Bombyx mori: one gene and its partner. The protein of the gene in region 1 purifies or fractionates together with the protein of each later gene. This does not show direct contact. Links are inferred from orthologs where the notes say so. Each region holds a gene or a part of one and is shown in the gene's direction. Other genes may lie near its edges.

The links.
Region 2: the proteins of intraflagellar transport protein 80 homolog (region 1) and intraflagellar transport protein 57 homolog purify together in Homo sapiens (affinity purification with mass spectrometry; 3 studies listed by BioGRID and IntAct, counting the BioPlex papers as one, with this or other methods). This does not show direct contact. The link is inferred for Bombyx mori from reciprocal best matches to the Homo sapiens genes IFT80 and IFT57.

The regions. Positions count from the first base shown.
Region 1 is NC_085110.1:15,041,840-15,046,124, reverse strand, and holds the start of intraflagellar transport protein 80 homolog, read left to right. Parts: upstream 1-1,334; 5' UTR 1,335-1,503; coding exon 1,504-1,598; intron 1,599-1,690; coding exon 1,691-1,858; intron 1,859-2,183; coding exon 2,184-2,290; intron 2,291-3,362; coding exon 3,363-3,541; intron 3,542-3,722; coding exon 3,723-3,812; intron 3,813-4,285. Other genes in the region: protein arginine N-methyltransferase 3, read right to left, coding at 1-670.
Region 2 is NC_085120.1:9,285,686-9,289,857, forward strand, and holds the start of intraflagellar transport protein 57 homolog, read left to right. Parts: upstream 1-1,339; 5' UTR 1,340-1,411; coding exon 1,412-2,533; 3' UTR 2,534-4,172. UniProt on the Homo sapiens protein: Required for the formation of cilia. Plays an indirect role in sonic hedgehog signaling, cilia being required for all activity of the hedgehog pathway.

The DNA.
Region 1 (4,285 bases):
GCATATCGTAATGAATTCCAAAGTGTGCATAAGTGTTAAAGTATCCTTCGTCACACTCTATAGGAATACTCGCAACACAACTTGTTTTATTTTTTACTTCACAACTTGAGGACTGGCCGCCTTCAACTAATGTTTTCATTGAGTCTTGCATTTTGTTTATATCCTCCTTGGCCATTTGCAGATGAGTTTGACTCTCACTTAACTGTTCGCTCAATGTTTGTATGGTTTTTTGTAATTCAGTAAAATGTCCCTGAGAAAGAGTAACAACACCATTCTCAACATTGGCATGATATGTTTTGGGGGAATTAGGTTTTTCAGATACAGAATCGAAGTCGAATGTGAGCCATTCGTCATTCTCAACAGGTTTCAAATACTTGTCGTCGTTCCAAGGCGGGTGCTTAATTTTCATAAATTCTTCAGCAGTTGGCTTGTTTGTCTTTATGTAGTTTATCATTTTTATGTATGAATAACAGTCCATATTAAACTTGAGCTTTAGAATACTTAAAGAGAATTTATGCGAAGTTTCACAGTGGGCCAAAGCTTCTTCCACAGAAGAAATCAGCTCTGAACAAAACAAGCATGTTACCGACACGTTACTGGTTTCCATTTCTTGCCATTCTTCATCGTCAAAATGCTCTTCGTCACTACTAAGATCTGGTACATCCGACATAATTAAAAATTATATTGAATTACGGACAACACGTATATGTTCAGCGTAAAATCAATGGGAAACTCTTCTTGAAATAAAATTGATTCCCCAATCGGCAGCATGTGAATATTGACATTGACATTAGACATTCAAATTGTTTGTTGATTTGTTCATTAAATCGGCAAAGGGAATGTTGCACATACATTAAGTTTTTATAACAAAGACCGAAGCCTTGTTTGTTATGTAAAAAGAAAGTAAAATGAAATGAAATTAAAGAAAAAGAGATAAAGCAACAACATATTAAGAATTAACCTCTTAGTAAAATTATAAAATATTGATGAGTTCATTTGAATTTTTAGAAAATAGAAAAGTGTTCTTCAGCGATTATGTTATATTTTTCCAAATCTCTTAATTTTGTGTTTTTACAATTTAAACATATAGGTATTGGCTTTTTAGCTATCGGAAACCATAATATATAAATCACATTATGAATAACACCATCGTTTTACGGGTTTATAAATACATTATAAGTTCTGAAACTCAATTTTCGATTCTTCATAGCAATTTTTTTGATTAATGGCCAATTACTGATTATTACATCATAGCAAATATTCAGCATCAACAAATTTATTTAACAATTAATAACACAAATTAGAACAATTATTTTTAGGTTACACAAAATAGTTTGTTGTATTTGCGTATCCATGGCAACATTTTGTCTAATCGTGTATTTTCTGGACTAATTGCATTTATTTAAGTGCGATGTAGCATTTTTCCTATAGTAGAAGAGTACATTATACTTTTTTTATTATTAATTCAATCTCTGTACAAAATCAACAACTCACTGATCCAGAATGAAATTTAAAATTTCCTCCCACAAGGAACCAAAACACACCGGTGTAGTGGTTTGCGTTTGTTGGAATAATACAGAGGACGTATTTTCTTGCGGGTAAAGGAAATAGGATAAGAAAAGTGAAATAACAAATAAAAATGCTTTGCCTTAAATATTTATTTTTAATTCTGTATTGATATACATTCCAGAGACGATCATAAACTATTAAAGTGGAATTTAGTTAATAATGAATGCTTGCCGGTAACTACTTTTCCTGATGATTTCTATCCGACTAGCATGCACTTATTTCCTAAAACTAGTCTAGGAGGCAGTAAACATCAACATGATGTCATATTGATTTCTACAGCTGATGGCAAGTAAGTTTCCTTTTTTAATTAATGAATAAATAGTAAGAATTTATGATCATCAAATTCAATAGGTTTGGATCTACAGATAGGCCTTGGCCCGATTAAATTAATCTTCCATTTATTTCATTCCGTAGCTTGGACAACCTATTGTTTTTCCGTTTCTAACTACGTATTTCAACCATTTAGACGTCCACGATTCCTTTGATTTTCCAACTTTCTCATTATGAATACCTGCAGGTGTCTTAAATTGCCAATGTTCATGATCCACCCATTATTGCAATCGTTTATTTTTTATTGATTCTGATATTAGTAGAATGTAAAATAAAATTTCTAGATTTCATATAGTAAATCACAATGGACGTATAGAGAAATCGGTGACCGCTCACGAGGGGGCTTGCCTCACAGCAAAGTGGAGTCCAGACGGAGCGGGTCTTCTAACAGGTATTAAAATTATTAGTCGTTTAATATAGCTGTTAATTTATTGATCATCTTCTTGACTATATAGTATAAAACAAAGTCGCTTTTTCTGTCCCTGTATCCCTATGTATGCTTAAATCTTTAAAACTACGCAACGGATTTTGATGCGGTTGATAAAGTGATTAAAGAGGAAGATTTATATGTATAATAACATCCATTAAATAGTAGAGAAATCAATAATATCCGAATAATCCGAAGCGAAGCGAGGGCGGGTCGCTAGTTTACCTAAAAGTAGTTTAAAAGTACCTAGTCCAATGGATAAAAATAAGCAATGATGAGACCTCCTTTATCCATTATATTCAGACAAGAGACTCTCGCTGTTCTACTGCTAATTAATTTACAATGAGAATGAATAACTGATGCTCTCTCATTAAAATTTTGATAACCTTACCGACATCGATTCACGATGACAATCAATAATGTCCAAATGACCGTCTCTTTGACTAGATATGTATATCTTACTAGCTGACCCGGCAGAGTTCGTAATGCCTCAATCGATAAATAAAAGACATATCTAGGGGACACATCAAAAGAAAAACAAAATTGTTTGTTTTTATATGATTCCGAGCTTTTTTATATTTTCTCACCTTTCAAACCTTCTCTGGACTACCACGAATAATTCAAGACCAAAATTAGCCAAATCGGTCATACATACACATACCCCGCCCTCTATCCCCAGTGGAGGGTGGGAGTTCGGCGATTTCACCCTGACCAAAAAAAAAAGCTTTTGCGCTACCGAGAACTTTTAAAAAACTCCCACTAAGTACCTATAGTATGCCTAGCATACTGGTTACATTGAAACCTTTCCAACATCGAATACATAGAAGGTAGTTAGCACAATTTTCAAATGTCGACGAATAATACTGTACTCCTTACGAACATCCAATCTATAAAATAATCAAAATGTCGGAAACAATAAAATTAAAACACTAAGCGCGAGATTAAAGCAACGATTAGCAATATGCACCTGGTAAACTGTAGTACCTGTCAATAAATTCTGAAAACAAAAACATTTTTTGTTTAAACATTTTTTAAGCCGGCGAAGATGGTTTTGTGAAGATTTGGTCTCGCAACGGTCTCCTTCGTTCAACATTGGTTCAATCGGATGTGCCATGTTTCGACGCCGTCTGGAGTCCAGACAGTAACGCTATATTGCACACAAAAGAAAACTTTCTCGTTATCAAGCATTTGAGTTCGAGCAGTAAAATTGTTAAGGTAATCCAGTGAGATTTAATTCAAATTATAGTGTTCGAGATTAGTTTCAGGGTATTTTTTTTTTGTTATCTGTCTATATTATTTATTAACTGTTTGTAAATTATATTGATTGTTTCCTGTGTATTTTTATAGTTAATCCTTTACCTATATTAACTATAATATTTTTTGTAAATGGTTTCAGTGGAAAGCTCACGATGGTCTCATTTTGTGCACGGCTTGGAACGCAAATAACAATTTGGTTGTTTCCGGGGCTGAGGATGGTTTTACTAAGGTTATTTATTTAATTTTAATTTCGTGACTTATTAGTCTAGTAGACTGATTAGTAAAAGACGGTAGACTATAATTAGAGCCTAGGTATATACAATCCAGTATATGTGTACACTGCTGTGGGAAATATACTTGCATCTTCGATGACTTTTAGTATAACAGTTGTTTGACCTCCCTATCCTTCAAACTAGAACACATGATTGTTTCACGGTAGAAACGGGCAAGCTGCTGTATCTCCGAGGATACCGCATTGTCTCTACCGGTCACCGTCCTCGTCGAGCGAATAAACCCACAGTCACAGCCCACTGAGTGTCTTACCGGATCTTCTCAGTGGGTCGCGTTTTCGATCCGGTGGTAGATTCTGCGAAGCACTGCTCTTGCTGGGGCCAGTGTCAGCAACACTCCGGTTTGAGCCCTGTGAGCTCACCTACATGTTGGGCGTAGCTGAAATAGTCTTTCAAGGCTATCAGCACAGGT
Region 2 (4,172 bases), on another chromosome or scaffold:
TCATTCGTCGAGTCCTTCGTCGTAAGCGACGGGTCCGATGAGGACGGTGACCGGTGCTTGAGGTAGGTACCTAAAAGCACCGTTAATGGATCGGGCGAAACCGTAATTACGTATAACCTTCTAGTTTCTATCTAAAGTATTGGTGGCAGAGCATCTTGCAGTCATTGGAATTGTCGTGGCCTAGATAAGACGCTCTTACTAGTATCGAACGATGCAACCATGCCAGTGTTCCAATACCGCAGGCAGATAAACATTTTTGTAATGAAATACGTACATAACACGTTTTCGTGTATGCCTCCCAAAGTGATGCAATAAAATCGTGTGATAAAAAAAAATATTAATTTGCGAAAACCGCGACGGTGCGTTAATCGGCCAATTGTTGCTCTGTTAATTTTAATATTAGCAGCTTTTTTTTCTTTGTTTTTATTGCCCTTATAGGCAGACGAGCATACGGCCCACCTGTGAGTGGTTGGTTAACGTCGCCCGTGGACTTCAGCAATCCCAGGGGCAGAGCCAAGCCGCTGCTTACCGCTACCACTACAGCTTCCAATCTCATCTTCACTAGTACATTTCGTTTTACATTAAGTTCATTTTCATGTCTCATAGACACAGTTAATTTCTTGTTGAGTACGCACCAGAGAATATGTTCAGCAAATTGATGAACACAACCGTTTCAAAATTATTAATGAATCTTAGTTTAACAATGGTTTAATTAAAATTAATCATACCGATATCCAAACATGGGTGAGAGAATGCGTAGTATTGTTCCCAACGTTTGTAATAATAATACAAGCGTAGAAAATGAGTATCAGAGCTTCTGTATTAATAAACCGACTTGATATAAGGAAACTAACTTGTTTAGAACCAAGAATACAGAAAAGGTTTTTTTTTATTGCTTATATGGATGAACAAGCTCACAGTCCGCCTGGTGTTAAGTGGTTACTGGAGCCCATAGACATCTACAACGTAAATGCGCCACCCACCTCGAGATATAAGTTCTAAGTATAGTTACAACGGCTACCCCCACCCTTCGAACCGAAACGCATTACTGCTTCACGGCGGAAATAGGCGGGGTGGTGGTACCTACCCGTGCGGACTCCCAAGGTCCTACTACCAGTTTAAAATCGTTCAATCGTCTTGACATATGAGCCCGAACCGGCAGCAAGAAGTTGTTATTTCATTTATTTTTCGATGTACCTATCACTTATTTCTGGAATTTGTGTAGTTCCTTGAAATTCAGTGCATTTACAAATCTAATATTAGCGTAATATCTATGTTTACCAACGAACTGTAGACCATAGATAATAAATACACTTCACATTTAAGCGGTGGACTGATCACCATAGCAACCGTAGCGAAGCACTTCAAAACAATCACGCATTACTTTTAGCGTAATTCAAACATTATCAACATGGATTTAAGACTTATGGATAAATTACGTTTATTAAAAATCGACACGGATCTGCGTCCCCAGATAAAAATGAAACCGTTGAGTCGATATTATTTCGTGACGTCCACTAATCCGAACGAACAGTTTTTCGTGTTTGCCTCGACAGCGGCCTGGTTGATAAGGAAGTGTGGCAAGGATTTCGCTCAGCCCAACGAAGAGGACGATCCTAACACAATCATAGCTGCAGTAATTGATGTACTCAAAGAAAACGAAGTTAATGTAGATTTCTCTTCGCATAAACTAAAACAAGGATGGGGCGATCAAGTTTGTAGTATCCTGAATATTCTCGCAGATGAAGCATTGAAAAAAGAAAACTTTGAATGGCAAAAACCAGTTGTTGACATACCAGAATCAGAAGAGTCGGTTGATGACATTGATCAAGTTGAAGACGAAACCGAAATATTACTGGACAAAGTTGAAGATGAAATGCCCATTTATTCTGATGAATCTGAAGGAGATATTAATGCAGACGAAAAAGAACCAAGTAACATAGCCCAAAAGGTTCACGATTGGGAAGCGTGGAAGTTGGAATTGGAAAGGGTCGCTCCGGCTCTAAGATTGAAGATATCCGCCGATGGACGCGACTGGCGAGCGAGACATGCACAGATGAGGAGTTACAAAGAAGAGTTATTCGATAGATTTAAAACAACGGGAACCCAGCTGAATAAATTGCACAGTAGCATTTCATCGGCTATGGATAAGGTAACGGCCAGGGAGAATATATTGAATGAGCAATTCGAGCCTCTTGTCAAAGAATATGGTTCTCTACTCGACGAACTAAACAAAGTGTCAAATGAATATAAAGAGGCCAGTGTAGGTATCACTGAAAGGCAAGACATGTTGAACGAGCTTTCAACAAAGCTAGAGAATATTAAACAAAGAACCGAATCTAAAGGGTCCTCGATGAACGACAATTCTCCTCTAGTTACAGCAAAGAAAGCTGTCGCGACCTTGAAGAAAGATATACAGGAAATGGACTTTCAGATCACGGTGTTGCTGTGGCTTCTGACAACAAAGGAATCGAATGGCAACAGTTTACTTAATAACAAGGAATCTGGGATGATTGCCAACGAAGTGTACTAAATACAATCTATACTAATACATCAATCTAGTGGTTTTTACGGATGTTCCGTTATAACTACTGAACCGTGCATCCGATTGACTTGAAACTTGGTATCCATGTAGATAATACATGTACTTAATGGATAGGCTAACATTGATGTGTTGGACTCCCTACACCAGTTGCGGGGGCGTTAATGATGAGAATTTTTGTGGGGTTGAGAAATAATAATGTTTAAATGCCCAGCGAAGCGGAGGGGTTCAGCTAGTTAATTATTATTTTAGATTGATACAGTATTTGTACGAAGTTTTTGGTGTGTCGCTATTAATGTTGGCAAATCGAATCCAAGGTTTGCCACTAAGCAGTCTCAACAAAATAATTCTGTCAAAACGAAATGGTTTGTTATTTGTTGAATGCAATGTATGGTTTAATACGACTATTTTGCCCGACTTTATTGGACTACCGAACAATGCATTTATAAGACATGAAATGTATTAATGTCTTGTTTCAATAACTGTTTGTAGTTTTTTAAGATTTATTTTGTCTCATGTATGCAAACTCTTCTTTGTACTACTAGGCTACTTTGGTCATATTGTCAGTTAGGAACCTAACAATTGTCACAAACTGGTGGCGTTGTGGCTAAAGTAAATTGCAAAAGGCCTCATAGATGCCCTTGCTTTTACCAAATGAAGACATTCATTGGCCTACCTCACTTCAGCTCTTAGAGTTGCTGAAAATCGACGACCTCAGTTAAAAGAAGAACACGATCAAGAAGGATCAGAAAAAAAATTGTAAATTTTGATGACATTAATTTTTATATTGGTGGGCTATAAATAAATACCTATCAGCGTTTTATACGGTTTTCTCGAGTCGTAGACATAATTAAAATTAATTCTACGATTTAATATAATATGCTTTTCATAGTTTTTTTTTACACGGACGTCGGGCCACGACAACTGTAAAAGTATTCGAAACTCTTTTTCTTTTTCTCTACCTTATCCCACTAGGTGGGGTCGGCACAGCAAATTTTTCTCTTCCATTCTCTTCTATCAGCCGTCATCTCAACACTCACTCCTCTCTCTCTCTCTCTCTCTCTCTCATATCGTCATTCACACACTCCATCCATGACCTCTTCCCCCTCAAAGTATTCGAAGCGTCGGATATAATAATTCTAGGAGTGAGAGGCTATTTGGTTTCAGCGACATATTTGCAACTTTACAGGACTCATATTCAAAGTTTAAAATTTGGAAAAAATATCATACCAAAAAAACTTCTTTAGCTATTTGATTGGGGTAAACTTAATTGAATAAAAACATCGAAGTGTTGATGCTAATACCAAATAAAACGGACCTTTAGTTACATCGATAAATGTCGAGCCAAATAACCTGTCACCCCACGATACAATGAAGAAAAAAAAAACGCGATATTAAACTGTAAAAGATATATTAATTAATATCTGTTAGATTTTTGAATTGCGACTTAAATATTGTATTACAAAAAGTATTGTACAAGTAGTATTGACGTCATTTTATGACCATTCCTTTGCGGTTGAGGCTGTCCGTTTATGGAATGCGTTACCCTTAAGCGTTAAACTATCTTCCTCGCCGGAAATTTTCAAGTCCAGATTGAAATCGCACTACTTTGCTTCTATGATATAACTGT